4 linked regions of the Styela clava genome follow. The main gene of each other region encodes a partner of the protein of the gene in region 2 in a complex. Links are inferred from orthologs where the notes say so. Each region holds a gene or a part of one and is shown on either strand. Other genes may lie near its edges.

Region 1 (7,902 bases), on a different chromosome or scaffold from region 2:
TATATGCCTAAGAGATTATCTGAGTGTACGTAGTATTTCAATTCCATGAATGATCAAGTAGCTGCAGGTTCTAGTCTGGCTAGCAACAAATAGGTGATAGCTTCTTAACAGTCTCACAATTGAGAGTACATAATTCCAGAAATCGCACGATGAAACCCAACAGACAAATCATTTCTTATAGCAACCCTGCAAACTGGGTAGGGCTGTCATATTGCTAGTGCCAGGTAAATATCTTGCTATCAGTCATTCATGTCATTGATAAAGCCGCTTAAAATTTTATCCTTTTTGAATATGTCCTTCACAATATCAGATGTTTCTGTGTCCATACTGTTTTTACCCTGGGCATTCTGAGATATTGATGTTGATAAATCAGTACTAGATAAATCAGTAAGCATGGAATCAACATTCATAGGTTCCTGAAAAAAAATTAAGGTAAATAAGGACGCGAACTGGGAGCTTGAGTATCTAGACAAGTTCAAAACTCAAATAGCATCATAATGTATGAAATCACAAAAGTTTGTATTTATTAAAATACAATTATTAAAAACTCAGAAACTTTGAAATACGATAATTATGGCAGAATAGTGAACTGAGAAATAGAATAGAAAATAATCAATATGAAATATTTCCTTACCTGGTTTCGCATTAGCTCAATGGCTTCAACTGCAGACTGATTCTGAATGAAATAAAAAACTGTTAACCGTATATGGGAAATTGTTGACCTTGAGCAAAATGCAACACTCCATTCATTGAAGTTTTTGAGAAATGGTCAAATGGGCGCATGAAAAAAAGACAAGTCGTGGCATGCGGCATTATATGAAACACCACATACCTCTGCTTGCATTGTCGCAAGTTGAGTACTAGACTCTGACAATATATCACCAGCTTTTTCAATATGTTTCCATAACCTTTCGCCAACGTCTAGCATTTGTGCTTGTTGCATTTCCATCATAACTTTAAGAGTTTCGCGAGCTTGGTGAGGACTGTAATCAAAAAAGAAATAACTTAGTCATGTTACTGTAGTCAAATTTGTACAGTTTCTCATTACTAGTCTTATCACTACTATGAATAACCAATAAGTTTGTGATGCAGATGCAATAACAAAAACAATATATGTAGTACCGAAATTCATTTATTAGGTGATGTATGTGTATAAAAAGCATGTTCAAATCTTCTATCTTCTTATCGCGTGCTTCAGATTCTGTAGCACTAACAAGAACATCCAACAAATCTAAAAAATTGCAGAGTATAGAAACAGTGAGTTTCTTCAATTCCTTTCTTCTGTCATATACAGGTGGATGGAGCCGTTGAAGTCCCTGAAAACATAACTATAATGTTATTCCATATCTTGTTCAGATAGTCATTAAAATGTGTAGAGGCAAAGTTTGTGCAGAAATATCATTTAACCCTGAGAGTTGTAATATTGTAAGCCAGCAATATAACTTAAACAGGTGTTTCTCCAATACTGTGGACAACCAATGCACTTTCAAATTTCAAGAATAATGAGCAATTTTTCTAAATAATTTATCATATGAAATTATCAATTATTTTTTGTATGAAAATGGCTCATATGGATTATCATTTTTTCCGTTGATGACACGCAAAAAAAAAGAAAATAAGTTACTAATGTGAAAATAAAATATAGGCTATATGATATAAATATAAGAACTACCTTTATTTCCAGGCAGTTTTTTGAGATGGAGCATCGAGATATTAGACCTGAAGAAAAAGCATGCCCCAACCATAAGAACTAGAGGTTTCAAATGTTGTCGCATGTTTAATATAGATAACACCATGATAATCGTATGAATATTAATTATGCTACTCCCGTATTCAGGTATTGAACTAGCTTTTCGAATAATAAAAATTAGCACCTGCATTTCCAAAGGTCTGATGATCAGGTCATCTTGATGACATTGTTGTCCAAACATCATGTAAGAACCATCAGGCAGAGCTGGAGGCTTAGGAGCAATATCCCTCTGAACAGCCTCATCCGTATACTTGCTTATGAACTGAAATTTATGCATGAGGAATTATTTGCAATTTCAAAACTAAACAAGATAGGAATAGGAGAATTCAAAAAATAAAATACATCCTCAGAGAGGAAAGTTGGCTCAATCATATGGTAAACCACAGCCTCTCGTCCGGTTACCGGTACCGCACCAGTCCATGTCGGGTATATGTTTAGTTGGCCAGTTATTTGTTTGGGATGCATAGACTTATAGCTATATACAAAACAGGCTAAAATATTCTCAATGAGAACTGGAGAACGGTCTATTTTGATGAAAAAAAACATAATAAAATTTTTATAATACAGTGTGAACTTTGCGCAATATAACATGATTTTATTTTACTTATTAATGAAAACTTTACCGTATCTTACCATCTTGGGTGGCAAAGGAAATGAACTTTGGACTTGGACATCACTTGATCCACCGACAGTCTGCTGAGCCGCAGCCATTGTATTCCTGAATAGCAGGCGAATTATACCGGTACCAGGTTACAGTTCCGTTTTTATTGTACACCATGCGCATGAGAAAGACCGTAACGCTAGACCTGTAGGCCGTAAATATTTAGGTATAGAACAACATTCGAACGTCTTGAAGCCAAAATTCATTAGCATAGTTAGCATAGCATTTAAAGGCATGGCATTAGGTAATACCTTATCGTGGCGTGGTAGTGAAGTCATGCCAGTGGCCGTGTCACATAATAGACAGTAGACACTAGTGGTTAATCCATAGTTTTTATAATGATAAGAATAAGATCATTTTGTAATTCCCAGAAAAACAAACACAAAATATAACAACTCACAGAAAATCGCTGGCGAAACCACTGATAAGATTCAAAACGCGCAGAAATAGGAATATGGTGAGCGCCAATAAATACTGAAATAAGTAAATGCCCATTCATATATTTTGATCCGTATTTCATTGCTGATGCTATGTCTTATTGATTCCTCATGGACTTTCCCCGAGCATCGACTTTCTTGTTTACTTCGTGGCATTGGCCATTGGCCAATTAGCAAGATGCAAAAAGTGACGTGCAATGCTCCCGTTTCGCATCCGCTCGGACACTTTTCTCACTCAGACAAGTTTTCAAGCGTGGTCGTAAACATTCCCTCATTTTCGCGTTTTCGAAATTTATTCTTATGTGGGAAATTTTACCTTTAAAAACCCATGCAAGAATAAAGTGGATTTCTGGAAATGATTTGTGTGCCCTCTGTGGCAAAGAACCAGAATTTATATCACATTTATTTTTGAGATGTGAATTCACTCAACATATATATGATTATATTTTTTCTGTTATTAGGAAAATTAGTAATTTAAGAGAAGACTATTTGACCTGCATTTTATTAGATTTTTCCCAAATGAACAGTGTATTTTTTTCAGATTTTCATGAAAACATTATAGTATTACTTATATCAATAACAAGATATAAGATCTGGTTAGAAAGAAATGCTGTTATATTTCAAAAAAAGATACCTAACGTTCAAACAGTCATAAAACAGATACAAACTTCAATAACATGTCGGAGAAATATAGAAAAAGTTCGAAAATTACCAAATTTCATAAAGGAATTAGAATTTTTAACCAACTGTCTGTGATTATATTTTGAGTAAATGTATAGTTGCTAATATTTTTTTTTCTATTTTTATGTATAACAAATAATGCTTAACTAATGTATTATTAACTTGAAAACATCTTGATATCACTGAATTGATATTACGGATTATACATGGATTATTGAACATTGGAATACTGAAAAATGGAAACTACGTCGGATAATATGGATTACAATTTGAGATAATAATGATTGTAAAAATTTTATTTCCCATTATTTCTATGATTATTACTGTATCACATTTAACACATTTGTGAGCGTTTAAAAAAAAAAAAAAAAAAAAGAAATTTATTCTTTAGTTTTCAGTAGTGTTTCAGAAACTTAAATATAAATCAGATAATTCAATGATCATTCTGTCTTTCTAGGAGTTTTAGTTTAATTGCAGTAATAAAAAATTAGTGTAGAAATAGCAGTGGATAGACTAGGCTAAAATTCTTTACCGGTACTTTTAAAAAACAGATTGTTGTATGCGTTGAATCAAAATGATGGTTTGAAACACATACCCCATTTTACAGGCGCCAACTCGCAAAAGCACTCTTAAAATAACCCCGAAAATTATTGCAATGGTGAAGTTTAGATAGAATTTCTCGGGGGTCAAAGATCGGGGAAAGGTCCGTATACATTATACAGCAAGGGCCAGCCCCCAGGAGCCTTGGTGACCTAACTGGTCTTGCATATTGACCCTCACAAATAATGATCAACCAGTTGTTTATTGTTAAATTTTATTTTGTGTTGCTTCAAATGTATTATAGTGTTGATATTGTTTGTGATAACAAATCTCTCTCCCACATATAACCTATATAACACGCGCATAAATAACGAAAAAAAAAACTAAAAAACGGGAACATTTATCGGCTGAGGGCGCATAACGTTGTGTACAGGGTACTACTTTCGAGTGTACATATGAAAAAATTGGAACGATACAGAGAAGATTAGCAAAAAAAAAAAAAAAGGTTGCCATATTCGCTTTTTTAACGCCAAATTTGCCATTTTTGGCTTTTTTGAAACCCGTATAGCGTCAGAATATCCGTTTGGCTTTTTGGCGTTTTTTAAGTCTATTCTAGTGTCTATTATTAGAATCATATGAAATACAATATTTAGTGTGTAACAACTGAACAATAGCCTATTACTTGTACTTAGCTACTTAACATTAGGATTTCCTGGAGCATCGATTTCCTTGTTTGTTACATTAACTCTTAACCATACCCAATAAGAAATAATTGCAGTTTCTGCAGCTGCTCAGACAGATGTTCAAGCAGGGTTGTAAACATTGCCTCGTTTTTATAGTTTTCGTTCTGTTTCCAAAAAATAGTTATATAACTTAATTTTCATTATGCCTGATATGGTTTATGTGAGCTTTAGTTTAATTCTGCAATTGCAATAACGATGTGATTAACTACGCTAAAATTACTGAATAAGATATCAGTGGTAGAGATGTACCGTTACCACTTTTGTCGCCGATACCAGCTAAAAACGCCGATACGCCGATACTATAAGAAGGCCGATATTCCGATACTATGTAATTATTACTTAATTAGGGGTGCTGTGTAGGGCAGACGGGTTAAAACAATGGTCTTTGAGCGTTGTTCATAGTACACATTATTTCAGATCGAAAAAAAAAGATATATCACATAATATGAAATTAATGTTTGGAGTTTGCTTTAACTGATTAAGATACATTGTACAGTAACGCTAGTAATCTCGGTGTTCAATTAGAAAACTCATAAGCCGGGATGTCAAATTTGAATTTAATGTTAATATCGCGACCTTCGAATATCGTTTTTCGTGTTTAAAAGAATATCGAATATCACCCACATATTCTAGTGCCGCCGTCCTACGCTCAAATTAAAAGCATTTTACAAATATTGTATTTCATGGCTAATCATAATCGTCGACGCAACAAGTCAAAGCCAACATGAATAAAGAATATCAATCAGCACCAACAAAAAGAAGGCCTACCTATAACCGTCGAGGAGGTTTTTTTAGTAAAAATAACATGATCTCTTTCAACGAAATAGATTTTATAATATTTTACAATTGCAATCATATATTTTGAGACAGTCTAGGGATAGGCGGTCATGTCAATATATCTATAAAATAGTTGTGTAATTAAACAAAATTCAAATTAATACTTGCGTAGAGAGATAATTGTGTCGGAATTTAGTTTATCGATGTCGACGGACTAAATGACACTCGTACTTGACGACAAACAGTCAGAATTTATACCTGTGCCAAGGGTCTATGTGCCGTTAATAAGGACCCCAATTCCACTGTATGATTTAAAACCGGGCGCCTGATTGCTTTTTGTTATGTGCGGTGTTGATATATTTCTTCATAATTACTATGTATTATTAAAAATGTCAATATAAAAATTTGACAGCGAAAATATCTAAATTAGTTGAGCTAGTTTGGCTGATAAATAGCTAAAAACACGTGAATATTCTCTCACGGTGGTGGGGACATGTATGGCTCATAGCTCACAATCTCTCCAGACAAAAAATAAATTGAAAAGTAGTATTCCAACTAATCTATTTTGGACCATATCAAAAAGTTAAATATATCGGAAATATCGGCCTTAATCTAACCGATACCGATACATGGCCGATATTGCCGATACCGATATCCGATACATCGGTACATCTCTAATCAGTGGTCCACCTGTGAGCGGCAGGGGGTTAGATAATTTTTTAATAAAATTGATGGTTTATAAATTTTAAAAGTAAAAAATATTCAATAGTAAAGTACGATATAGGGAGAAATTTTTAAGGTATATCATAAGTTTAAGTAGAAACATGTAGGTATATCATATTCTGATGCGGCACCCTGTATTGTATTTATTGAATGGTAAAATAATGCTGTCCGCTCGATATTTAATTTCTACAGTGCTAGGCTATAGGAACTTTACTTTCTATTCGTGTGCCTCACTGAATGAACTAATGGCTCTATATCATCATCGGTACGTTGCCAAGGGCTTAAAATCTGACAAATCATGGGTAGCCTACGGTACTTAGTAAAATTGTTGGCTTTTTCTGGCTTTTTTTATGTCTTGATTTGGCTTTTTTTGATGGCTGGGGTCTGGCAACCCTGATTGTGTAACCAATCACCAAAACATAAATCATGGATCTGTTTACAACAGACACATTTAAAGCAAAACAATAATTTAATTGAGGTGAACAACTGCAAAGCAATGTGCTAGGTGTGAACCAAAGCATACCGTACCTATAACTTGTTGTACACAATGTCACAAAAATGACTTTATTAGTTGCTGCATCCTCGTTGATCTGATTGTTATGCTTCTCAGTTCTCAATTCTGCAATGATTGGTCGTTTGACTAGTTGACAGACAGGTCGCAGTGTGAATCGAAATAAACTTATACCGGTACTTATAATGGGTATAGCTAAATGTGTTTTACCAAATTTTGAATTTGTATATGGCAGTCAATGTATTACAAAAATATTTGAGCTATGTCTGTTTTTAATCCTAATGACCATCAACATATTCGATATAATCCACTGAAAGATGAATGGGTTTTGGTGTCTCCACATCGTCTTAAGAGGCCATGGACTGGACAAGTTGAAAAACCAGTTTTAGATGAAATTCCTGAATACGACCCTAAAAATCCACTGTGTCCTGGCAACATAAGATCGAATGGTAAACAAAATCCAAAGTATTCAGGGACTTATGTTTTCGATAATGATTTTCCTGCTCTACAACCTGAAGTTTTTTCAACAGAAGAAAATAATGACCCTTTGTTTAAGATGTCTCCTGTATCTGGTGAATGCAAAGTAATGTGCTTTCACCCTCATTCAAATGTTACCTTGCCAGAAATGAGCAATAATGATGTAATTGAGGTCATCAATAAATGGGTTGATTTATCAAAAGAGCTTGGTGAAAAGTATACCTGGGTGCAAGTTTTCGAAAACAAAGGATCAGTCATGGGTTGCTCCAACCCTCATCCACATTGCCAAATATGGGCGAGCTCCTTTCTACCCAATGAAGCTGCAATTGAAGATAAAACTCAGAAAAATTACTATTGTAAACATGGAAATCAAATGCTGGTTGAATATGCAAGGCGTGAGTCTGAGTCCAAAGAGAGGATTATTTCAGAAAATGAGCACTGGGTGGCAATTGTTCCCTACTGGGCAACTTGGCCCTATCAAGCGATGCTTATTCCAAAAAGACATGTGCTTCGGTTACCTGATCTAACCGATGAGGAACGGTCTTCCCTAGCAGAAGTAATGAAGTCCCTACTGACAAAATATGATAATTTGTTTGAAACTT
Region 2 (7,356 bases):
AATCTAGTTGTTCCCCAGATAGCATTTTTTATGAAATTTTAAATATTTCATCAAATAGAAATTAAACAGATAACAGCTTTTAAAAGTAAAAATTCATTTCTACTGATATGAAAGGAGCTACTGTAACTTATTCTAGAAAAATCTGGATCCTTCCGGTTTGGTATTGCCTACCCAATTTATTAAAACCTGCGCGAGGGGGTGGCCTTTGGTTTGAACCTGAAATTTTATTCTGTGATGCCATCATAGTTAGGCCTAATGCTTTAAACACTAGGCCAACACTCCCACGTATTAAAAGTTATCTATTCTGAAATTCTTCTCCAATTAGTCATAATGATGACTGTAACAAAGAAAACAAATTTACTCAAACATGATTTTTGTCAATTTGAATGATTCGATAAACCATCAAAGCTATTCTATGCAGTAAACAACATCGTTACAACGTTCTCTGCATCTTATTATAAATGTTTTAGACTCTGGTTTTCATATCAATACCAATACGTGAATGAAAATACAAATCTCAAACACCAGTTTGCATAACACCTTTACACTTTGGATTATTATGACAATTTTGCATCAAATGAACACATTTGTTGGTATTTTGAAAACTTTTCCATTTTCCAACCAGCATAATATAATTTGGAACAATTTTCAGCGTTAAAGAGTTCAAGAAATAACAGAAATTAAAAAAGAAAACAGGCAGTGAGTATTCCTTAAATATTAAAAACTAATATTCTGACAATACTATAATTTAATCATTCCCGAAACTAGAATCCGAAGATGAACTTGATGATGAATCAGAGGACATTATTTCAACCTCTTCATCTCCTTTTTGACCATATCCAAATTTTCCGTCCATACCAGATGCTGATTGGTTGCCCCATTGTGGTTGTTGTATATCATTAGATCGCGACATACCAACTAAATTTGGTACAGAAAGTCCTTCCGTTCCTAACTGCGGCGGTGGCTTAATCGTTGAATTTGCATCTGTCATATTGTTAATCTGTCCCAGCCAACCACATCTCATTTCGATGTCCTGTGGATAGGGTCGTCTTGGGTCACCTGGCGCCCAATTTAATGGAGCTGCCGTGGCACATGCAGCGCTTATTTTGTGAGCATATTTAATGATATCTTCAGAAGGAACAGCACCTTTTCTTGCTCTTCTGATCGATTTGAGTTTTTCTTTGGCTTGGTATAGAGCAGTGGATAAAAGATGTTCCGCATCTTTTAGGTGTTTTTGTAAAACCTCAATTTCTTTATTTTTTTGTGCGATTTCAGCTTTGTATAATTTGATATCACGATGAAGTTGTTGTTGGTCGCGTGCCATTGCCATTTTCTCTTCTAAATCTTTGTTTTTTTGAAGCAAAAGATCAGTAAGCTGATTCACGTTCATTTTTTGTGGGATAGCTTCATCATTTTGAGAATTGAAAGTTTGACTGGTTGAAGATTGCCTTGATGACTGTTGGGAAAGAGTTTCAAACAATTGCCGAGTAATAAGATCAATGTCTTCAACAAGAGCCATTAATTGTTGTTTAGTGCTGATGCTTCCTCGTTGTAATTCCATTTCCAATCTTTTTTCGATAATAACTTTTGAAGAATAAATTTGAATATCAATATTATGATATTGAAATACCCTGAATTAAAATTATGCCTGCAATGAAGAAGTTTCTTATTGTTAATAATACTGTAATAATAGTTTACAACAAAGACGGAACTTTATCGCAAATAACCGCAACCCAATATATGATCTTATATTCCTGACAATTTAAGTTTGACAATTTAGGAATAAATTATGTTTATCTTAATTAAAGGAAGGATTACAGATGTAAGTTTTTAAAAAATTTAATTTTGATTGGAATCTGATTCTATTTACATTAGTATAATATATCGTATCACCGTTGACTTAATACAAATTTAAAATAACTGAAGGATAAATTGTGATAAAATAATAATGCATAATGTTGTTGGAAAAAATACATTCAATGAACTCAATTTATTTAGGCGGAGAACTTTTATTTTCTGTTTCATAGCTGCATAGAGCTATCAATCAATCAATTTTATTTTGGCCACTCTGAACGAAACAAAACATCAACAAACGGACAAACAAAATGCAGAGGAGCTACACTTACTTACATTTTCATTCCAAAACAATAGCGAACCTATACCGTAGTCTAGCGCTCATTTCTTCTAAAATTGACCTAAAAAATAATTCAATTTTGTAAACCCAGAGACCCTAGTTATTTAAATGTAGGCTACTTACTGACTTAAATAAAAAAAATACCTGAATACTGTTTGCAACATGATTCTTAAGGAAGCGGACCTATGTTTTAATAAGGAACACCAGTATCCAATGATTTTGTAAGTTTTAGGGTAATGACATTATATTAGTACGTTAAAGAATCGTTCATATAACTTAATGAGGGTCTAGTATAGTTTAGTACCACAAGTGCCGGTACTTCCGGTGGGCGTAGCATAACGATTTTTGCATATGTTACTCCTAACCCTCACCTGATTATGCCATCCAAAAATTACGTCACTACGACGTCACCATCACGTCATAGGGATTGCCAAAGTATAATTACCATCGCCCGAAATGGCATCTGCGCCGCCGATAAGAACTTGTTAAGGCCGGCGATCTCTCTCCTATCGTGATCGTTGCGACGAGAAAACGAGAGAAATAGCTTGCTCGATTTCGGGTTATCGTCTGCGCGTTTTGGACGACCATCCGCATACTTCGGTGGGCCTTATTACGCCACTGTGACGTCGGAATGACGTAATTTTTCGGTGACGTAGTCAGGTGGGGGTTAGGATTGACATATGCAAAAATTGTTGAGCCAGGCCAACTAGAAGTGGATGTGGTACTAAACTATACCAGACCCCTTAATGACATACCGTAGGTATCGGTATTTGTGAACTTCAATACCGGTACCGTACAATATTCGTTACGTCAGTACCGGTACCCGGTACGTTGATGACAAAGACACAGGTCAGCACGTAGAGTAGCCTATAAAATATCGTAACAATACAGCAATACCGCCCATTAGTCTGATTAGTTAACCAGTCGTTTGTTTTCCATGTTTGATGTGGGGTTGAATTGTCCGGATACCGAAACCGGTTAACCCAAATGTATTTTGCTACCTGATATCCGGATAGCATTGTGACGGTTAACAGATTCAGATACTGTATTTATTTCGTCGTGCATGAAACAATGTACAGACAAAATTAAACAAATATAATAACCGGATATTAAAGTAGCATAAATAATCCATATGCTCATTAATGATTTTTTATATTTTTGTTACGTAGCAGCTGCCATTCCCCAAAGCATATATTAACAAATTTTATTCACACTTCTTTGCTTATACCTTTGCCATCCAATCAATCATCATTTATTCGTCAACACAATTTAAACATGGTATGATATATGAAAAAATATCACAAATACAAGTGGAAACTAACTTAAATTGTGTGACAGGAGTCGCGAGGGACCTCAAGAGGTCTTCAGGCAGCGACACCACCAGCGCCATCCGTAAATGCTGGAGTGTACTTCCACTATCACATCACAAAATAAATGTGATTTTTATGTAAAAGTAGAGCGCATTCGCTTCACCTTTGACTGATAAGCATAAATGAATTTATTCTCCATTCATCATTAGCCTAATGAGATGGGTGAGCAAAATAAAACGTCACCAGCTAGCTTATCAATATCCGGCTTCATTTTAGTCAGAAACGGTCTTATGTTTCTTCAACGATGTCAAATGCGGTTACTCTTGTAATCTAGAAGCGCGGTCATGGCACAGGTATGAGCTGTTAAAGGATTTTTTTTTACATGATCCCGCACGTGAGGGTATTTTAATTTGGTTTAATTCTGAACAATTATTATGGAACACTGAACATTTGTTTGAGTTCAAAATCTTTTTGCAATTTGATGTTCCTTTTCAAGAATCCCACGTCCGTGAATAATACTAAACTAGAATTGGAAAAATGTTCGTCCAGGCATATTTCACTGATACACGACGAGCCTATTATTGGAACCAGACAGTGTTATTGGAACCAATCCATCTTTATCAGATTGATTTATTCTCCATGAAAGTAAACTGCTGGAATTCAACAACAGTATCAAAAGGGTGTGAAATCAGTCAGTCAGTAGTTTATTTTTTCACCAAACTTAATATACACTTGGTTCGAACATTGAATAGGAGTAAACGTAGTAATGGCATTCCAAGTTCCGCGAAAATCAAATGCTGGTCATCGAGCAGCGATACCCGTCTTGCTGGTGTATGGCAGATAGATATCCATGGAAAGCCATATCTTACTTCAGTGTGAAGTAAGGCTAGTAAGCGCTCAAATGCATTCATCACTTTCATTGCATAATTATTTAAGTGAGCGAGTGTTTAGCACGCGTTTATTTTATTTACTGCCTTCATGACTATGACTGAAAAATCAACTCGTTTCTGTACTTTATCATTGCTCAATGAAACAAGAGAGCTACGCCCAAATATATGGACACGTCTGTTCGCAGTACAGTACGGTTTACCGTACCGTCAGATCACATTCTACAAATATATTCACACCAAGCGAAGCAGTACAGTAGGGCACAAAATGGCGTCCGATGTCCGCAGAACGTTCGATGACGTCATAGCAAACAAAAACAAATCTTACAGAGCTATCAGAAATATTTGAAATAAATAAAAGTAATAGCCTTCTGGAGAAAAATTTCATCTTTAACCACTAAAAATTTCAAAGCAATTGGTCCAGTGATCAAAGAGAAAAGCGGCTTTTTAATATTTCCACTAGGTGTCCAAAAAGTGTCGAACAACAACAAGAACAAGAACAACATAAAAACAAAACGATTGTTATGTCCACTAAACGTGTCCAATAACTACAGACGGCGCCTTTTCATGCAAAACAGTATCAGAAAATTTCTTGGTGCTCCTGAAGTATGTGCACCAAGATGTCGCTAACCTGAACTAGAGATGTGCCGATGTATCGGTATCGGCAACATCGGCCAATTTCTCAGTATCGGTAGTGTATCGGTATCGGCTAAGTTTAGACCAATATTTCCGATATATTTAGCTTCTCAATATGATTCAGAATGTTTTAAAAAATAGGTTAGAATACTAACCTTGAAATTATTTTTGAGCCATTGTACGCCCCCACACCCGCTGACGTGTTTTAAGCAATTTATCAGTCAAACTGGGTCAATCAATTTGAGTATTTTCGCTGCCGAATTTTTATATTAAAATTTTTAATATTACATGGTAATTATGAAGAATTATATCAATCGAATATTAGTGGATGTTCCGATGTGTATAATTTAAAATACGACGTTATATTGGCACAAAATCCTACGCACGTTACTCAATGTATCAGTTTCATGCGATAAGTAGGCTAAACATTTATTTATTTTACCACCAACAGTAGCCAAATCCTACTAGTTTTCTAATAAAGAGCCGAGATTACTAGCGTCAGTGCTCAATGCATCTGAATCAATTTGCGCATTTGGATCCCAAACATCTACTTCTTATTAATATGTGATATTTCTCTTTTTTGATCCGAAATAATGCGCACTATTAACAATGCTTAAAGACTATTGTTTTAAACCGTCTGCCCCGCACAATTGAGGTAATAATTACATAGTATCGGCAATATCGGTCGTTTTCGAATATCGGCGTATTGGTATCGGCTTTTTTAGCTGGTATCGGATCGGTATCGGCGACAAAAGTGGTATCGGTACATCTCTAACCTGAACCCAAACCTGGCACACATACTATGTTCAGGTTGTGCGCCATCTTGGTGCACATACTCCAGAAGGTCCAATTCCTTTACTGATGGTGGGTTAATTCGTCGCCAATAGTAGGCTTCTTGAATTTGCTTATCTGCATGTAAAGCATCATTTATATTGTCACAAAGTGTTTTTGCCGACTTTGGGAATCGCTGCTGTAGACGAATTCAGTTGAAAAGCTTTGAAGTTGTGCGTGTGGAGATGGGGCAGTCTTGAAGATGGCGGTTTTGGTGATATATAACTATTGTTTTCTGTCGCTATTTTTGCCATTGGGATTCGGGTATATTGCCAGGAAATGACGCAGATGGGGGTCGTGTTTTTGTTCGGGACTGGACACATCGCCAATACTGCACGATCGACGCCACGGAGGCTATGCCTATGTATCATCTGGCCTTGTCGGTGGTGGATGGCCTCGATTCTATCCTACATTTGGAATTTGTTTTTGTCTGGCGCGGCAGGGTGGTACAGTTTGATATTGCTTTTTATCTGGTGCTAGTACACTGTGTTTTTCGCAGACATATATTATGCGATCCACGGTCTCGTTTACTTGACGCCACGATTGATGGGGTGCTTCATAGTCAATGCATTGCAGAAACATTAATATATCCCGCTCTTCTGAAACCCTGGCTTCCACAGTTTGTTTGTTTCCGGCACTGGAGAGTAGATGCCAATTTCTTTCTTTTCTTCCTTCCTCATTATTTGCCATACCCACCTTTTTAAGTATCTAGAATAGATTCTAGTCTAGAACATTGCTATCGACATTCAGTGGACTTTGCCTGCGCTGTTTACTAGCTATTTCTGGTTACTCCTCATCGAAAAATGCGTGTTTTTCTTCATGTTCAAAATTTCATTTATATATGCTCATACAGTGTTTGTGTAAATATTCATGATAAAACTGTGTCGTGATTTTTGATCAATTCACCATGTAAATCTCGTGAAATTCTCTCTTGATTCTCTAACAATTACCAGTAACTATCCGTAATCCGGTTAACCGTGAAGTAAAAATATATACAAAATAAACGGATATATCTGTTCTCCGGATAGTAAAAATTATAAATATCCGAACTAACCTTAGTATAATGATAGAGGAAGCAGTAACCGATCAGCGGTTACGTTGACCACCCTACTACGGCGAAGGGTCCAGCATATGGTGGTGCGCCATATGATTATGCCGTATAATCGACTTTCCTCTCTCGCATAACTGAACGATTGAAACCAGGAGAGCAATCAAAAATTTCTAAAGGGGAAGCTAATTTTGTGCAAGGTTATGGAAGAAGATCTTTGGGGTATATTATTAGATATCAATATCCTTGTGGAAATCGCCATTGTTGGCCATATTTCCAAACCTTGAATGAAGGACACATCATTCGATAGAACCATATTTCACCCGCGCCTGATATATATACTTCATATTATTATATCTACTAAATCTCTAGACTTAAATATAGGAGTAACAATGAACGATGTAACGACAATGCAATTTTGTCTTGCCAACGTGCAACTATGCTAATCTTGCCTTTATTCGCTTCAGAAACGAAAGTATCGTATCAGCAAGTAACGCACTCCGCTTTGCT
Region 3 (7,104 bases), on a different chromosome or scaffold from region 2:
ACAGCGTATGCTAAAAAGAATTGCTGACAAGCACGACTGAAAGTGATGAATTTCAAAAAATTCAACATCGATTAGTTCATTAGTTGCCAGAAAAGCATATTTTTTCCAACAACAAAAAAAAAAAACAACAACAAATATCTAGCAAAATGATGAAAATAATAGCGTCCTAACAGCTTCATCGTCTTTTGAGTACTGAAAACTCGGAATTGATTGGCCCAATAGAAGTGGAATAAAGTATTTCCCCCGCAAACAAAAAAAAACACCAAGACGACATTGCAAAACGATCTAAAGGTCCAATTTGTGTCCACTGTCCAATAATGTCAAAATATCTTACGTGGAAGAACCTTCCTTGAGGAATGAGGTAACGGTGTGCTTCTTGGTAGTTTTGATGCACTTGCACCAGTTATTGAACTGCGAGATTGTAGAGAATCACGACCAAATGATGATTTTGTTTTACGACTCATTGTGGAATAGTACTAATAGTCTAATACCATAACTAAATAAATGATTTGATAACATAACTAAAACAAGATAACAAAAATATCAAGATGATATATTAATGCCTTTTAAGGCAGTTGTGAAAAACTATATTCAATGGTCTCAAAACTAACGTATGCATGCAATTGTTTATACGCTTCTTCATCCCTTTCGTTCAGAACAAGGCACAGTTGAAATTTAACGATACGCGAGGAGCTACATTTCTGGAAGAACTGAAATCTTTCCAGTTTGACATTCGCATCCATTCTCCCTGGGTGAGATGATAGGCATGGAATTTGAACCCGAGGTTAGTAACCTGCGATGACAACACAGGTATTAAGTCTAATGATTTCACCACTACGCCATCGTGCATAAATACAAAACTGATAAAGAACATCATATGAATAATTTTCTATTTATAGGTACAAAACAATTGTCACCTGTTTATTGCCTGAGATATGAACAAGCACAAGGAGTATGGAGGCTCAATTAATAATGTTTTCAAATAAACTGAATTACACTAATTCCATTTTACAAAACTAGATCTTGGCATGGATCTTTTTATAACATGTTGCAAAGGAAAGTCAAAAAGATTCTGGATTCTGAAACTTTATTTTTATTATGGAATAGTGAATATATACCGGTACTAAATCAGCTCGTCATCAATGAGGAACACATAGAAGTATTTTCAATGAGCTTGAATTTAGAAATACTGAAAAGGTCAGGAAAACAAGGCTTTGATTACCCTTTTTTTAGATTTCAAAATGAGAATGAACTAAAATTATTTAATTATATCAACACTTGAACTTCTGCTCGTGTATGATTGAGATTGTTGAGACACAAAAGTTGGTACTGCTGTAGCCTGTAGTATATGTACCACGTTAGGGTTGGGCCATAATTTTATTCCGATTTCCCTCATATTAGTTCTATTGTGTGTTCGGGGACTGTCTGTGTTAGCCAAAGGAATATACCTCCTGCCCATAGGTTTCAGTCCCTTTACACAACTTTGTGTAAAGTAGGCAAACAAAATCAGTTACCTCCATATTGGTAGACACACTTCTGGATCGTCCAAATGTTTCATTGAACACCGAAGTTGCTCAAAAACCATTGCACCCTGCTTGTTTTTTAAACATAAATCGCTAACCATTGCAAAAAAAAATATCATCTTTGCGGAATATCTGAAAAATCTGCAATTGAATTATCAGTAACAGGAAAAGAAACAGCAGGTTCGCTCTCACATACAAGGATGGCTTCAAGTTTACGTGCTGCTAGTTGCGCTTCGGCAATTTCCGCTAAGGCAGTTTGAATTCTGTTAAGTTCAAGTTCTCCTCTCTGCACCAGGTTTTCAAGATTTGCAGCAGCAGCCTGGTTTTCTTGCTCTAAACGAGTTAAATGAGCAGCCTGTAATTCAGGCGTACTTTCTTCGCTTGGTAACGAGTCTACTAAAACGTTTATATCTTTAGCAGTTCTTGTTATTAATGTAGCAAAAAGTTTGACGTTTTCATCAGTTGAAATAGCAGGCTCCTTATTTCCAGTTTTTTCTAATCCAGCAAATGATCCAGGTGGGGCATTCTGTTGTAGGATTCCAACGCTGTTGCAGAAATATTCCGCCATCTGATTGACGGCATCTTGAAGTTGTGTGAGACGATCAGACATACTGATGAGCAAAATGTTCCAATATTATTATATTCTATTTTTCAAATATTACTTATTTAGAGCTTACAATCTATAATATAATACATTTCTGATACATTTATAATAAAGTAGTATAGGCATAGTAATATAACATATCACAATTGACTGAGCACCTGAAACACACAATTACTTAGAGCAACAGTCACAGCTTAATATATTCTGTGAATTAATAGATGCTAAGGGAGTAATATACACAACTATACTGGTTCATCTTGGTTGAGTAATCAAAACCAAAAATAAGTTGCCGCTTGTAAAGAGCAACAAAATTATACAAATTTAAATACTTCTTCTACATGAACTTGTGTCAATTAGCACATGTAGGGCTGGGTAATAAAGTGACATGCATATTAAAATTATGTTATTTCATCAGCCGCTACCAGTGTTCCCTCTAAGGTGTGCGCGTGTGCGCGCGCACATAGCTTTCAGAGGCTGCGCACACGCATAGATTTACTGCGCACAGACGTATTTCGATGTAATGTAACAATGTGCTTGGTTGGCAGGTTGAGAAAGTTTGTTGTTGGCCCACTTATTACCGGTTAGAACGCCAAAATTTCTTCATTGTTTTTTGCACAAATATTATTCATTTCCAAAAAAGTGTGCACACACCAAAATGTCTGCGCACACATACTACAAAAAATTAGAGGGAACATTGGCCGCTACAAAAGCATAATTTCAAAATTGTCGAAAATTTCAATACAGCATGACAGGAATGAGTATTTATAGCTTAGACTTCTCTAAATTCATGAATCCTGACTGTAATCACGATCACAAAAATATAACATAAAAGAAATAAAAATTATAGCATGACCTAATCGCTATTTATAGAATGGACAAGAACATAATGCACCATTTATCGATGACAAACCAGCTACGATATATTGCTGGAAACAAACAAATTAAAGTGGAGTAATGATAAAACAATTATAGACATTTCAAATTTCTACTCTGGGTCATTATTACTTACGGTAGTTTCAAATATGGCATATCATTCACAACAGAATTGTTTATTTTTTGTATTTTCCTACAACAATGCATAATACACGTCCCATAATTTTGAAAATGAAATTTAAAAAATAAAAGTTACTCCCGTAGTATGTGTAGCTACTGTACCTCCATATTGGTACACACACTTCTAGAGCGCCAAATATGGTACATGGAAATTGATTCGACATACACTTGATTTATATGCACCAAACTTAATGATTTGAGTAAACAAAGACTTCTACTGCGACAAATTTCATTTGAACTTAATTATTTCGATTCAAATGGATAAAAATATATTCAAGTTTTGCTTGAACTTGCAGAATCATCTTGAACATTAAGAAATAATTTTTGTATAACATCATGATCTAGTAAATGCAAAAGTTCGGTGTCATTTTGTGCGTGCTGCTCTGGAAACATTTTTCTTCGAAGTTCGTTTGTCAATGAGTTACCACTTCCACTGCTGTGGCCACTGTCACTGTCGAAAGTATCACCTTCTGACGACGAAACCCCTTGTTGTTGAAAACTCCATTGCATTTGTTTTTCTTTTACATCTTTCAGTGATTTGAGAACATCTCGTGCGTTAACTTTATCAGTATTTTTACGTTTTGTTTCCATTCGTTGAAGTTTCGATTCTAAATAATTTAAATAATCCTTGTTTGACTCATATGACACAGATTGCTGATTTGTTGGAAATTCTGAATCATTCTGATCATTAGATATAAACGAATCTTCAAATCCTTGATCTGTATCTTGAGCACCAGAGTCTGGATCTGTGGCACCTGACCATGGGTCGCTCTCCGCAGCAACGTCATCAAAATTGGCCTCAAACATGTTGCCTTCTGATGGAAATTCAGGACAAAAATTTGAGTGTGAAGCGGGCCTGGTTCCAGGGGCCATCACAGAAATAAACAAAATTTATGACACTTTTATCAACACCAGGTTTTTGAAGAGCGAAAAATGTTAGTAAAATGAATATTGCTAACTAAAACATAAGATAAATATTACAATTTGCAGTACAGGAGCAGAAATGAATCAATAATAGCCATCAAAAATGTATTTCGATTTTATCAAAATCAGAAGACCTTCTGCAGTTTCATAGGAAATACAAAAATTACGGTACCCTACTACCTGACTACAGACTACAGTACCGTACGGTACCGTACCGGTACTATCCTATTGGCTACGGTATGCTATCGGTAGTGCTGTAGTGGTAGAATCAAGTTCAAAATGTGATTAGAGATTCAGATTGCTGGATTGCGGACAAACATTGTAAATTTCAGAAATAAGAATTTTGAAATCTAGTCATTCAGATTGCAGCATTGAAGCGATAAAGCACCATTCATACAGTCATTTGGACTCATTTCTGTTTAAGAACTTTATACAGTTATACTGGATACGGTAATCAATTTCTGAATTTATTCAAAATGAACACAAGACATACCGTACCGGTACGGTAATTGGTCTAATAAATCTGTAAATGTTACAGTGTTATGCAGTTACGGTATGTCTAAACTACAGCCTGACAGCAATACCAGAATACCGTCAGACCGTACCGGTACTGCAATGTGAATAACTGAATACTGGAATAAGCTTCAATGGGTACGGTACCGTACGGTACAGTAGGGTACGGTACCGATACCTGACTAGGCTATCATTACCAAATATCGGTATTACCGTATTGTGTCAGTTTCGCAGTTTACTGATTTGATTGAATTGAATTTTCTGTGAAAATCCTTTAACAAACAATCTACAAAATAAGCTACACATTTCCAAGTGAATCGCGAAACTCGTTTTAATTAAAACCGAAAACAATGGTAAAACTATTTTTCAAAACAATAACATAAAGTTACCAGATTTTTCTCAAAGGTGTCGTAAAGCATATACATGTTTGAAAATAGTTGATCCTTTTTTATAAAACGAAAATATGAAGGGAAAAAATAACCATAATGATTTGAAGAAATTTAAAAAAAGACATTATTCAGATGTGGTGAAATTCAATTTATCTCGGCCTATAATGATTAGCGAATTCGTGATTAAAATCTGGCATGTATCGAGTATATCCCGCCAAACTGTTCCGTTGCGACACCTCGAGTATATCTTGAATGCTTCTATGCTTCTACGAAACAAGAGTGCTATGCTCAAATATATGGACACGTAATACAGAACAAAATGTTTCATCAATTCACGGAAATTCATAGCGTAACCTGAACAAAGCTGAACAGTGAAACAGCTACATGGTGACAATGCAGTGACTTATCCAGCACGGCAAAGTTTACCGATTCCAAAAAAACCCCAACATTTAAAAGACATTAATCATCACAGTGAGTGGACCTGTAAGCCCCGCTTTTACGAGACAGTTACGGTAGGTATGTGTAAGCATGTGTTACGGTACCGGAACTGACCTATCTTCACCAGTTCCTTTCTTGTGTCAGTGTCAATTAAAATTAAAATTACAAGATGATTCGACTCACAGCTGTAGTAACACCAGCTATCCGAATCACTACTGTATGTATTTTCGCAACCAGGTACCGTAGCACGCCGTTCCCCATAAACAACTCTTAGCGAAAAAGACTTACGCTCGCTTCTCAGCTGATATGCCATCACCGCAATCGCCACAAGGTGTGACGTCTTTTGATAGCCCGGAATCTATACAGACGAGACACAATAAAAACGTATCGAACGCGCCACTCTCAGCCCTTTGTCCACAAACAAGACACATGCATAGATCAGCTTCTTCTTTATACACTTGGCAGAGAACAGTGGTTTCTTTAATGAATAAAACACAATCGATTAACATATGTCAAAGCATATATCAACAACAAAAGGCAAATTTTTTTTTTTTTTTTTTTTTGTTACCGAACGTTTTCCGATCCGGGTGGCTAATACAATTACAATATATATATATATATAAAAACAGATAAGTAAACAGTCCACAATACGGACAAATATCTGCGGCTCTTGCAACACGACGAATACGTGATGCGAAAATGACCGAAAGGGAAACGCTAAACCAGACAACAGATAATATTACTAATTTACGCTACGAGCAAAGGGAAAAAAGGATAACAAGAGAGCAATGCTCAAATATATGGACACGCAGAACAATTCCCCAAAAATCATATGCGGTGACCAACGACTAACATACCGGCGGTGACTTACCAGTACCTGTATCGGGGTACCGTGACGGTACAGGGACTGTAATAGATATTTTAGGTCCTGTGACAATTGAAACATCAGTTGAAATATCTCGTGATATGAGTCAATTATGTACCGTATTATCGGATCAGGTACCGAACCACAGTCAAACATTTCAGATAAAAACGTTACTAAATAACATGCGTCAACTTAACACCAGCCGAATCGGGGTACAATTTTTGGTACAGTGACTGTCATAGCCGTTTAGGGCTGATGGACAATTCGACTACACGGACAACTCACCAGGCCTAGGGTGGTGTAGCCAGTCTGCGGACAATTTCATTCAAACCGCTATAAAACAAAAACCAATATATCTAACCCGTTAATTTTTTCACCGTGGGTGCATTGGCGGCCTTTATTCTACACGCTAAACCTCGTATTAACTTTCTACGACAAAGGGTTGAAGCATTGGGCTTCTAATTGCATTTCTGACCGTCATATATTTCAAGAACACGGTTATTTCGAACAAAACTCGTTAAATTATAAACAAAGCACCACATCACAGCAATCAAACATACGAAAACACGGTGGCCGTAAATTGGTTGACAAAGATAATATCGACGTATCGGAAATGCACACCCCCTATTCCCCCTCCTTCAAATGTAGAAACGCGAAACTTTCAAATATGGTTAAAAGAAACACAACTCTCCCCACCTGCCAAGTTTCATCTTTTTATTTCTCATATTTGTATGGATTTTCAAGCTTTTGACAGCTACGAGTTAGTTCAGTGTCACCGCGCTGCGTTACGGTACC
Region 4 (6,808 bases), on a different chromosome or scaffold from region 2:
GTACCCAATGAATGGAATAATTCACTTTAGTTTCACAAAAGTGTTGGAAAAAGTATCATTTGTTATATTAACAAAAAGGGAATGCCATGAATTTTCTGGACCATATTCGAGTAAATAATATATTCAGATGAGAAGACAGATTTGTTAAAAATTTTGGATAAAATATCAAGTTCGATATTGAAAAATAGCCATCTCTGATTACAACATCCTATTGTAATATTATTATTCACATACCGTAAGTTAAATAATACCATACATAATGAACACATTTTATTACATTTATGGTATTATCACTTGTTTTTCCATCTAGAACCTAATCATGCCTGGACATTTACTATAGTTTTTACTTATAGTCAATGCCCTGGTTGGTAATTGTGTCAATACTTGATTGATTAGCATTATCAATAGATTAAACTACAAAACTTACTTTATAAAAACAGCAAGGTAGATATCTAGCTATTGGCCTACATTCAACATGAATAAATAACTAAGACTATTTGACCTGATTCTATCTACTTGATCTAAACAATACAAAAGCATTTCATGATAGTATGTACATTGAAAAATACTGGTACTACTAGAAATATCAAGTACTGCTTGAAATTGTAAATTGCATCTAGATTTATTCAAATTTAAAATTCAGATATGATGTCACAATTTTAAATTAATATTATAATGTAAGTGATACCCATCATATTACTATTTTGGAATACTAGGTGTAATTTTCCTGTAGCCCTCAAATTTCATAGGGTGATAGACAATACGATAAGGAAATAAAAATCAGCAAGAGTGCTTCAAATCAGGGATGGCCAATACCGAATAGTTCACTATTTCAAAAATTTCAGGATATAAGTAATTTAGCATTATCAAAATAAAGTGTGCACCTTACATATTTGGCAAGTTATTGTGATCTAGTAATCATAAAAATGTATTGTTTAGTCAACACTAAGTAGAAAGCATAAACAGAGTAGCACAAACTGTACAGATAATATGCAATTATAAATTCACAACCTGCAAATAGTTTGTTTTTGTTCACATAGCAAAACAATCATTTTGACTGGTTTAACGCATGCTATTTGCACAAAATGAGGAACCCGATTAATTTAATTAATTAAGCATTTGGATCTGTATCCCAAAAGTAAGGACTTAAAATAGGGAATTGCAATAGCAACAGCCAAAATGACACAATCACATAGCATGTGGTTTGAAAAAAGACTACCATGAAACTGAGAGTCATCATCATTGAATACATCAATGACTACTTGAAATCTTCCTTTTCATGCACTTGGCTAAATTTAAATACATCAATTTACTAATTCACTTATCAATCAATTATTTAGGGATAGGATTTTATATTTATTCCGGGAGAGAGGAAATTAGATAAGAGGGCTCTCGTTCGGTTAACAGTCTATGTCGGGTTACTCGGGTATGATATTAGTTGGCCAGTTATTTGTTTCAGATACATGTCTTTGATTTGAAGTTGAGCCATGCCTATACTTTGCAACGTAGATAAACTTTGACCCTCCCTTGTGTCCATCTATTTGTTTCAGATACATGGCCTTGTTTGAAGTTGAGATATACCCATACTTTGCAACGTATATAAAATTTGAACCTCTCTTATTGATGGAAAAACGGATACCGAGCTTTAATTTAGTTTAATCAAAGGTTACCCTTTTCCTTTACCCTTTATAGCCATGCGATCATCTCTGTTATAATCACTTGGTGTGACACAAGCTTTAGGAACTTTTTCTAAAATGGAAGAAATTTCTTCTTTTTCGTTATAGTTTTTCCACAAATCATAAAGTTGTAATATAATTTTTGTAATTTCAATAATTTTTTCCATATCAACATTTAAATCTGCAAACCATTGTCTTGCAACCTCTAACTGACTCTGTATAACACATGCAATATGCAGGCATGCGAGAGCAATTTGAAAAGGTGGATATAACAATATGACATCCGTACGATATGTGTCGTTTACAATACGCCAAGCAACTGGTAACAATAAATCAGCGTGTCCAATGTCTGAAACATATTGTAATAATGGACGATATGGGTGATACACAATTAAACAACAATCCATTAATTCCAGGAGAAAAAATTCACATTCCCAAACACTGGTTATTCTGTAGTTATAATCCATTTGAAACGCATGGCCAAATTTATTTTTGATGACACTTCCGACTGCAGCAATAAGCCGTGAATTTGATACCACGCCACTCTCTTCCACCTTCGCAGCAAGAAAAATGCAAGTTGGAGCTAAAAGAAGTGGGTCACAGCTTCGTAATGGATGTCTGCAATAAAACCTTTTGAAATAAACAGTTGCCGTAGCAATAACTTGCTGGCGTAGCTTTAATTGTTCGCCAATTGCTTGGATTACATTGGCATAAAAAATCATCACTTTGTTATATTCAACTTCCGTTAAAACTTTGAAATCAGCTGCTCGTTCTCGAGTGAGATCTTGCGGCGTAAGTATCCATTGATTGCAATGAGAACTCTGCCAGAAGTTTCCAGCCATATCAGATTTAAAATAGGAGCTAGATGGTAATCTATAAAAAAAATGATAAATTTTTACAAGACACAATGATAGAAGCACAGAAAAATGCTACATAACAAATGGCAAGATTGGTTTGTAAATTGATGCATGAAAAAGTACGGTATAACTAATAGTACAAAGTTTAGGAGATATTTTGTATAACTATGTAAGCATTACAGATGAATAATCATAAACAAAAATTTTGGAATTCGAGGTTGTTATTTCAGAGATGGAGATCTGTAGCAATGAGACATATGGGCACTGTTATATTAAAAAATGTTCTGCAAAATATAACAGGTGTCATGATATGATGCAGTAATCACATTGGAATATTACGATACACATAATTGCATTAAAATTCATCAAAAATGGAAGAAAATCAAAATATAATAAAAAATTCTATTCATCATGTCCGTGATGTGACACGTTAGTGTGAGCAACTAAGTGTTCAGGAATAATTGCACCGATTCTTGAATAATAACGATTTCTCAAACCAAATGCAGTCATTGGTTTAATTCTTGGTTGCATATCAACAGAAGCATTTGCAATTTCTTCTGCTGCTTCTTCGAGAGCACGTTTTGCATTTTGTTCTTTGGCAGAAGCATTCAGGCCACTTTCACGACCAAAATCAATGATGTACAAAAGCAAAGCAGATATTAAAGCAACACTGATACACATACAAAAAAATATCTCTAACATGAAATATCCTTTACTGTCGAGAATACTACCAGCGGCAAGCGATATGACAGCCAAACCCAAGTTTTGTATTGATTGCATAAAGCCATAGGCTGTGGCAAGTTGATGCTCAGGTACTAAAAATGCTACAAGTGGCCACAGTGCACATGCTAACACAGAATATGCAAATCCCATCAACGTCATGGCAAACCATGGATTGATAAAGGTAAATGCTAATAAACCATGACTTGCAAGAGTTAAAACAACAGCAAATAAAATCCAGAACAAATTACGACCAACCCGATCAATAATAAAGCCTAGGACCGGTGAACAAGGTGCGGACATGATATATACAATACTATTCACTGCGCTTGCGCTCGATGAAGAAAATCCAAACTTTTCTTGAAAAAACGTTTTTCCTAAACCTATAAAAGGAAATACTGCTACATAATAAGCCACACAGATGGCAAATACAAGCCATAACTGAATTGAAAAGTCTTTAACATCCGTTAGTTTAACAGCTTCTTCAGCTTCATTCTTTTTACGATTCAATATTTTTTCAGCACGTTTGTCTAAATACGCCAAACTAATTGCACATGTCAACGAGAACAAACAAGTCAGAGCAGCAATAAATAGAGAAACACCCAAGGTTTTATTGTGGTCCTTCATTTTTTCATTAACCATATCATAAATTGGTACCATAAGGTTCATATTCACGGTGCTTCCAATCCGAGCCATGCTGAGTTGTAAACCAAACACTAAGTTTAATTCCTTTCCTTTAAACCAGAGAACAGCATATGTATTTTGGGCGACAGCTAATGATTCTCCACCAATACCAAATATGAAACGTCCTAGGTCCATCAACCATATTTTGTGTACCAGTGCTCCAGTAGCAAAAATTAATTGCCCAATAACAACCAGCATGCTAAAAATGAGGCTGCCAAGGCGAACACCAAAAACCCTATCTAGGAGAAATCCTCCAAAAAAACAGAGGACAACATTTGGCCATGAATACCAAGCATAAAGCGACATAAAAGTGCTTTCACTTACATCCAAATCATTCACAATTTCATCATGTAATGCAGCAGGATTGTCGTAGCAGAAATAACTTCCAAAACTTAGAAAACACATCAAAGCAATAATGATAAGACGATGGCTCAAACTACGAGGATTTCCAACTTCACATGGTTTTACTTTAACTGGTGCAGCAGATGAACGTCTTCGAACAAGTGGATCAGTTTCCATAATGATAATACCGGTAGGTTAGGTCTTAAATTTCAGAAAGTTTTGTATTATTTAATCTAAAAAGTAAAAATACCTTAATATATTGATGTAGAGCTTTATACTGTTATAGCTTATGACTATCGCTTTGGAAATCTTTCAGCATTTGTATGCATATCCAGATATAGGATAGGATTTACATATTTCTCCTGGGGGAGAGGAAAGTTGATAAGATGACTTAACCATATGGCGAACCACTGCCTCTCGTCCGTTTACAATTTCATGTCGGTTGGGTATGGGATTAGTTATTTTTTTCCGGTAGCATGGACTTGATGGTGGGGGAAGCCGTAACAGACCAGCGGTTACGTGATCTACCCTACGACAGCGAGGAGTTCAGCGATTCACTCGCATGGGATTCGAACCTGCAAACCCACGCAGAGTAATCAGATGCGGTGGATCATAGAGCGTATTCCTAACGCTTGGCACGGCGAGCCACACCGGTGTATTTCAATAATAAAGTAGGGCCTAGTACATCTAAGATAGCAAAGAATGATGCTTTGCCAAAGATTGTTTGAATGCTATAAGCGACGAACCTATGACAGTGTGACCTAATACAGTGATGTCAATCCCAAAATTTGTGTTCTTCTGAGTTTACACGGAAATAGTAGGGCCTAGGTTAGTACTGTAGTATCTTTTTTTTTTGTGCCAAATAAATTCCAATGGCAAAGGGAATTTTCATATTGATATTTTGGAATCGAATCATTTTATTTTAAAAACACAGTCCTTTGTTTCCATGTTTTTTATTTTAAATTTAAAATGCTAAACACCGATACTCTGGGGCTGTATTTTGTGAAAAAAAATATTGCTGATGTTGTCGCAGTCAATAGCCCAAATCCAAATTAGTATCAATGTAACAGTTACAATGCAAAATGATTTAATGATCACTAATATCAATAATTTCAAAAATTATGCGGCTCTCACATATTTCTGACTCGCTGCATGCGGCTTTTATACTAAAAAATGTTGCCCACCCCTTCTCCATATAGACTACCGGTACCGGTACTAATTAATTCAGTTTTTAAAACCGTGTTCCCATAACAGCATAAGGCAGTAAGGTAAAAAATAATACAGCGAAATTTTGGATGAAATGCATTTGGTCCAGTAAGTAAAGAGAAAGGTGATTTTTTCATAACGATAGGAAGAAAAATTCTAATGCCAAGAAGAAGAGCAACAATAAGAACAACAACATAATAACAAAACGATCCATAGGTCCACTCCGTGTCTGATAACTACTGAACTACGACAATTCAGAATGACACTCTCGTTCTACTGCAAATCATTAATTTCCTGTTCATCGACTGTTACTAATTCTGTTAATTCGGATGAGTTCTGATTCCGAACCATTTCCTATATTTTCATTTTACACGCAAATCTGATGTAATCAGAGTGATAACAAGAGAAGGTAAATCCTTTTTTTTTTTTTTTTGTGCCAAATAAATTCCAATGCCAAACGGAATTTTCGTATTAATATTTTGGTATCAAATCATTTTATTATAAATATATAAATAGATATTTTTTTGTTTCCATGTTTTTGTTTATCATTTTTTAATTTAATCCCATTCCCCCCAATACATATGAATATGAACATGAATATGAACATATGAAGAGAAGGTAAATCCGTTGTCGTAGATTGCGCAAAAACAAACTGGTCGGCCCATAAATAAACGCTCTACTGCCGCAGATGACACTGGTACGGCCAGAACAATTTTCGCATCATCTTTTAGCGGTAGAAACATGTGTCTATTCTTCCAATAATCTTATATAAAAATGAGTGTCTCATGAGAAATACAAAGTGTGTTGTCTCATCCCATGGGACGTTTCCCATTCCATGGATAAGCCTGGTAAGCTAAAATGGACCACAATTAACCCTTTCATTCATGACTTTTTCGCTTACAACAAGGAAATTATTTTTGTATTGAAATGAAGTATTTACAATGCCAATAGCACAGAGGCGTAGCCAGCATATTTTGCGCCCGGGGCAAAATATAAAATTGGCGCCCCGACCCCCACGTTTAATCATGTTTCTATTGCATTTAATTTTATATGTAAAAACAAATTATATATCGTCACGCTAACAACCGAATTGCGTAAGTCATTTTTAGCTGTTTTGAGAAAAACGTAAAAAAAACTTCCTAATGATATTGCTATGCCATTAATTTGCCATAGTTCAACTTTTTGATCGTAGCCGGATTTAAGTTAATTTGTATGACGCAGTCATGTGACGTCATAATGGCGCACTGTGACTTAGGCAAAAGTGTGTCTATGACTAGGGGACATACGCAATTTTGCAACTTGACTATATGTACCAGTCCTGAA

The links.
Region 1: mediator of RNA polymerase II transcription subunit 4-like (region 2) and mediator of RNA polymerase II transcription subunit 7-like share a complex: the UniProt entries of both Caenorhabditis elegans proteins name them as parts of the mediator complex. The link is inferred for Styela clava from reciprocal best matches to the Caenorhabditis elegans genes mdt-4 and let-49.
Region 3: mediator of RNA polymerase II transcription subunit 4-like (region 2) and mediator of RNA polymerase II transcription subunit 21-like share a complex: the UniProt entries of both Caenorhabditis elegans proteins name them as parts of the mediator complex. The link is inferred for Styela clava from reciprocal best matches to the Caenorhabditis elegans genes mdt-4 and mdt-21.
Region 4: mediator of RNA polymerase II transcription subunit 4-like (region 2) and cyclin-C-like share a complex: the UniProt entries of both Caenorhabditis elegans proteins name them as parts of the mediator complex. The link is inferred for Styela clava from reciprocal best matches to the Caenorhabditis elegans genes mdt-4 and cic-1.

The regions. Positions count from the first base shown.
Region 1 is NC_135263.1:12,517,365-12,525,266, forward strand, and holds the start of mediator of RNA polymerase II transcription subunit 7-like, read right to left. Parts: upstream 3,019-7,902; 5' UTR 2,907-3,018; coding exon 2,812-2,906; intron 2,621-2,811; exon of another isoform or gene 2,469-2,620; coding exon 2,384-2,468; intron 2,013-2,383; coding exon 1,875-2,012; intron 1,317-1,874; coding exon 1,123-1,316; intron 984-1,122; coding exon 833-983; intron 677-832; coding exon 635-676; intron 417-634; coding exon 240-416; 3' UTR 1-239. Other genes in the region: galactose-1-phosphate uridylyltransferase-like, read left to right, coding at 7,086-7,902. UniProt on the Caenorhabditis elegans protein: Component of the Mediator complex, a coactivator involved in the regulated transcription of nearly all RNA polymerase II-dependent genes.
Region 2 is NC_135264.1:5,105,151-5,112,506, reverse strand, and holds the start of mediator of RNA polymerase II transcription subunit 4-like, read right to left. Parts: upstream 3,022-7,356; 5' UTR 2,890-3,021; intron 2,196-2,889; 5' UTR 2,131-2,195; intron 1,649-2,130; 5' UTR 1,562-1,648; coding exon 749-1,561; 3' UTR 1-748. UniProt on the Caenorhabditis elegans protein: Component of the Mediator complex, a coactivator involved in the regulated transcription of nearly all RNA polymerase II-dependent genes.
Region 3 is NC_135250.1:5,389,920-5,397,023, forward strand, and holds mediator of RNA polymerase II transcription subunit 21-like, read right to left. Parts: upstream 2,161-7,104; 5' UTR 2,134-2,160; coding exon 1,639-2,133; 3' UTR 522-1,638; downstream 1-521. Other genes in the region: kinetochore protein NDC80 homolog, read right to left, coding at 335-464; uncharacterized protein LOC144428188, read right to left, coding at 3,454-4,053. UniProt on the Caenorhabditis elegans protein: Component of the Mediator complex, a coactivator involved in the regulated transcription of nearly all RNA polymerase II-dependent genes.
Region 4 is NC_135255.1:10,309,406-10,316,213, reverse strand, and holds cyclin-C-like, read right to left. Parts: upstream 2,550-6,808; 5' UTR 2,519-2,549; coding exon 1,667-2,518; 3' UTR 521-1,666; downstream 1-520. Other genes in the region: lysosomal dipeptide transporter MFSD1-like, read right to left, coding at 2,936-4,456. UniProt on the Caenorhabditis elegans protein: Component of the Mediator complex, a coactivator involved in regulated gene transcription of nearly all RNA polymerase II-dependent genes.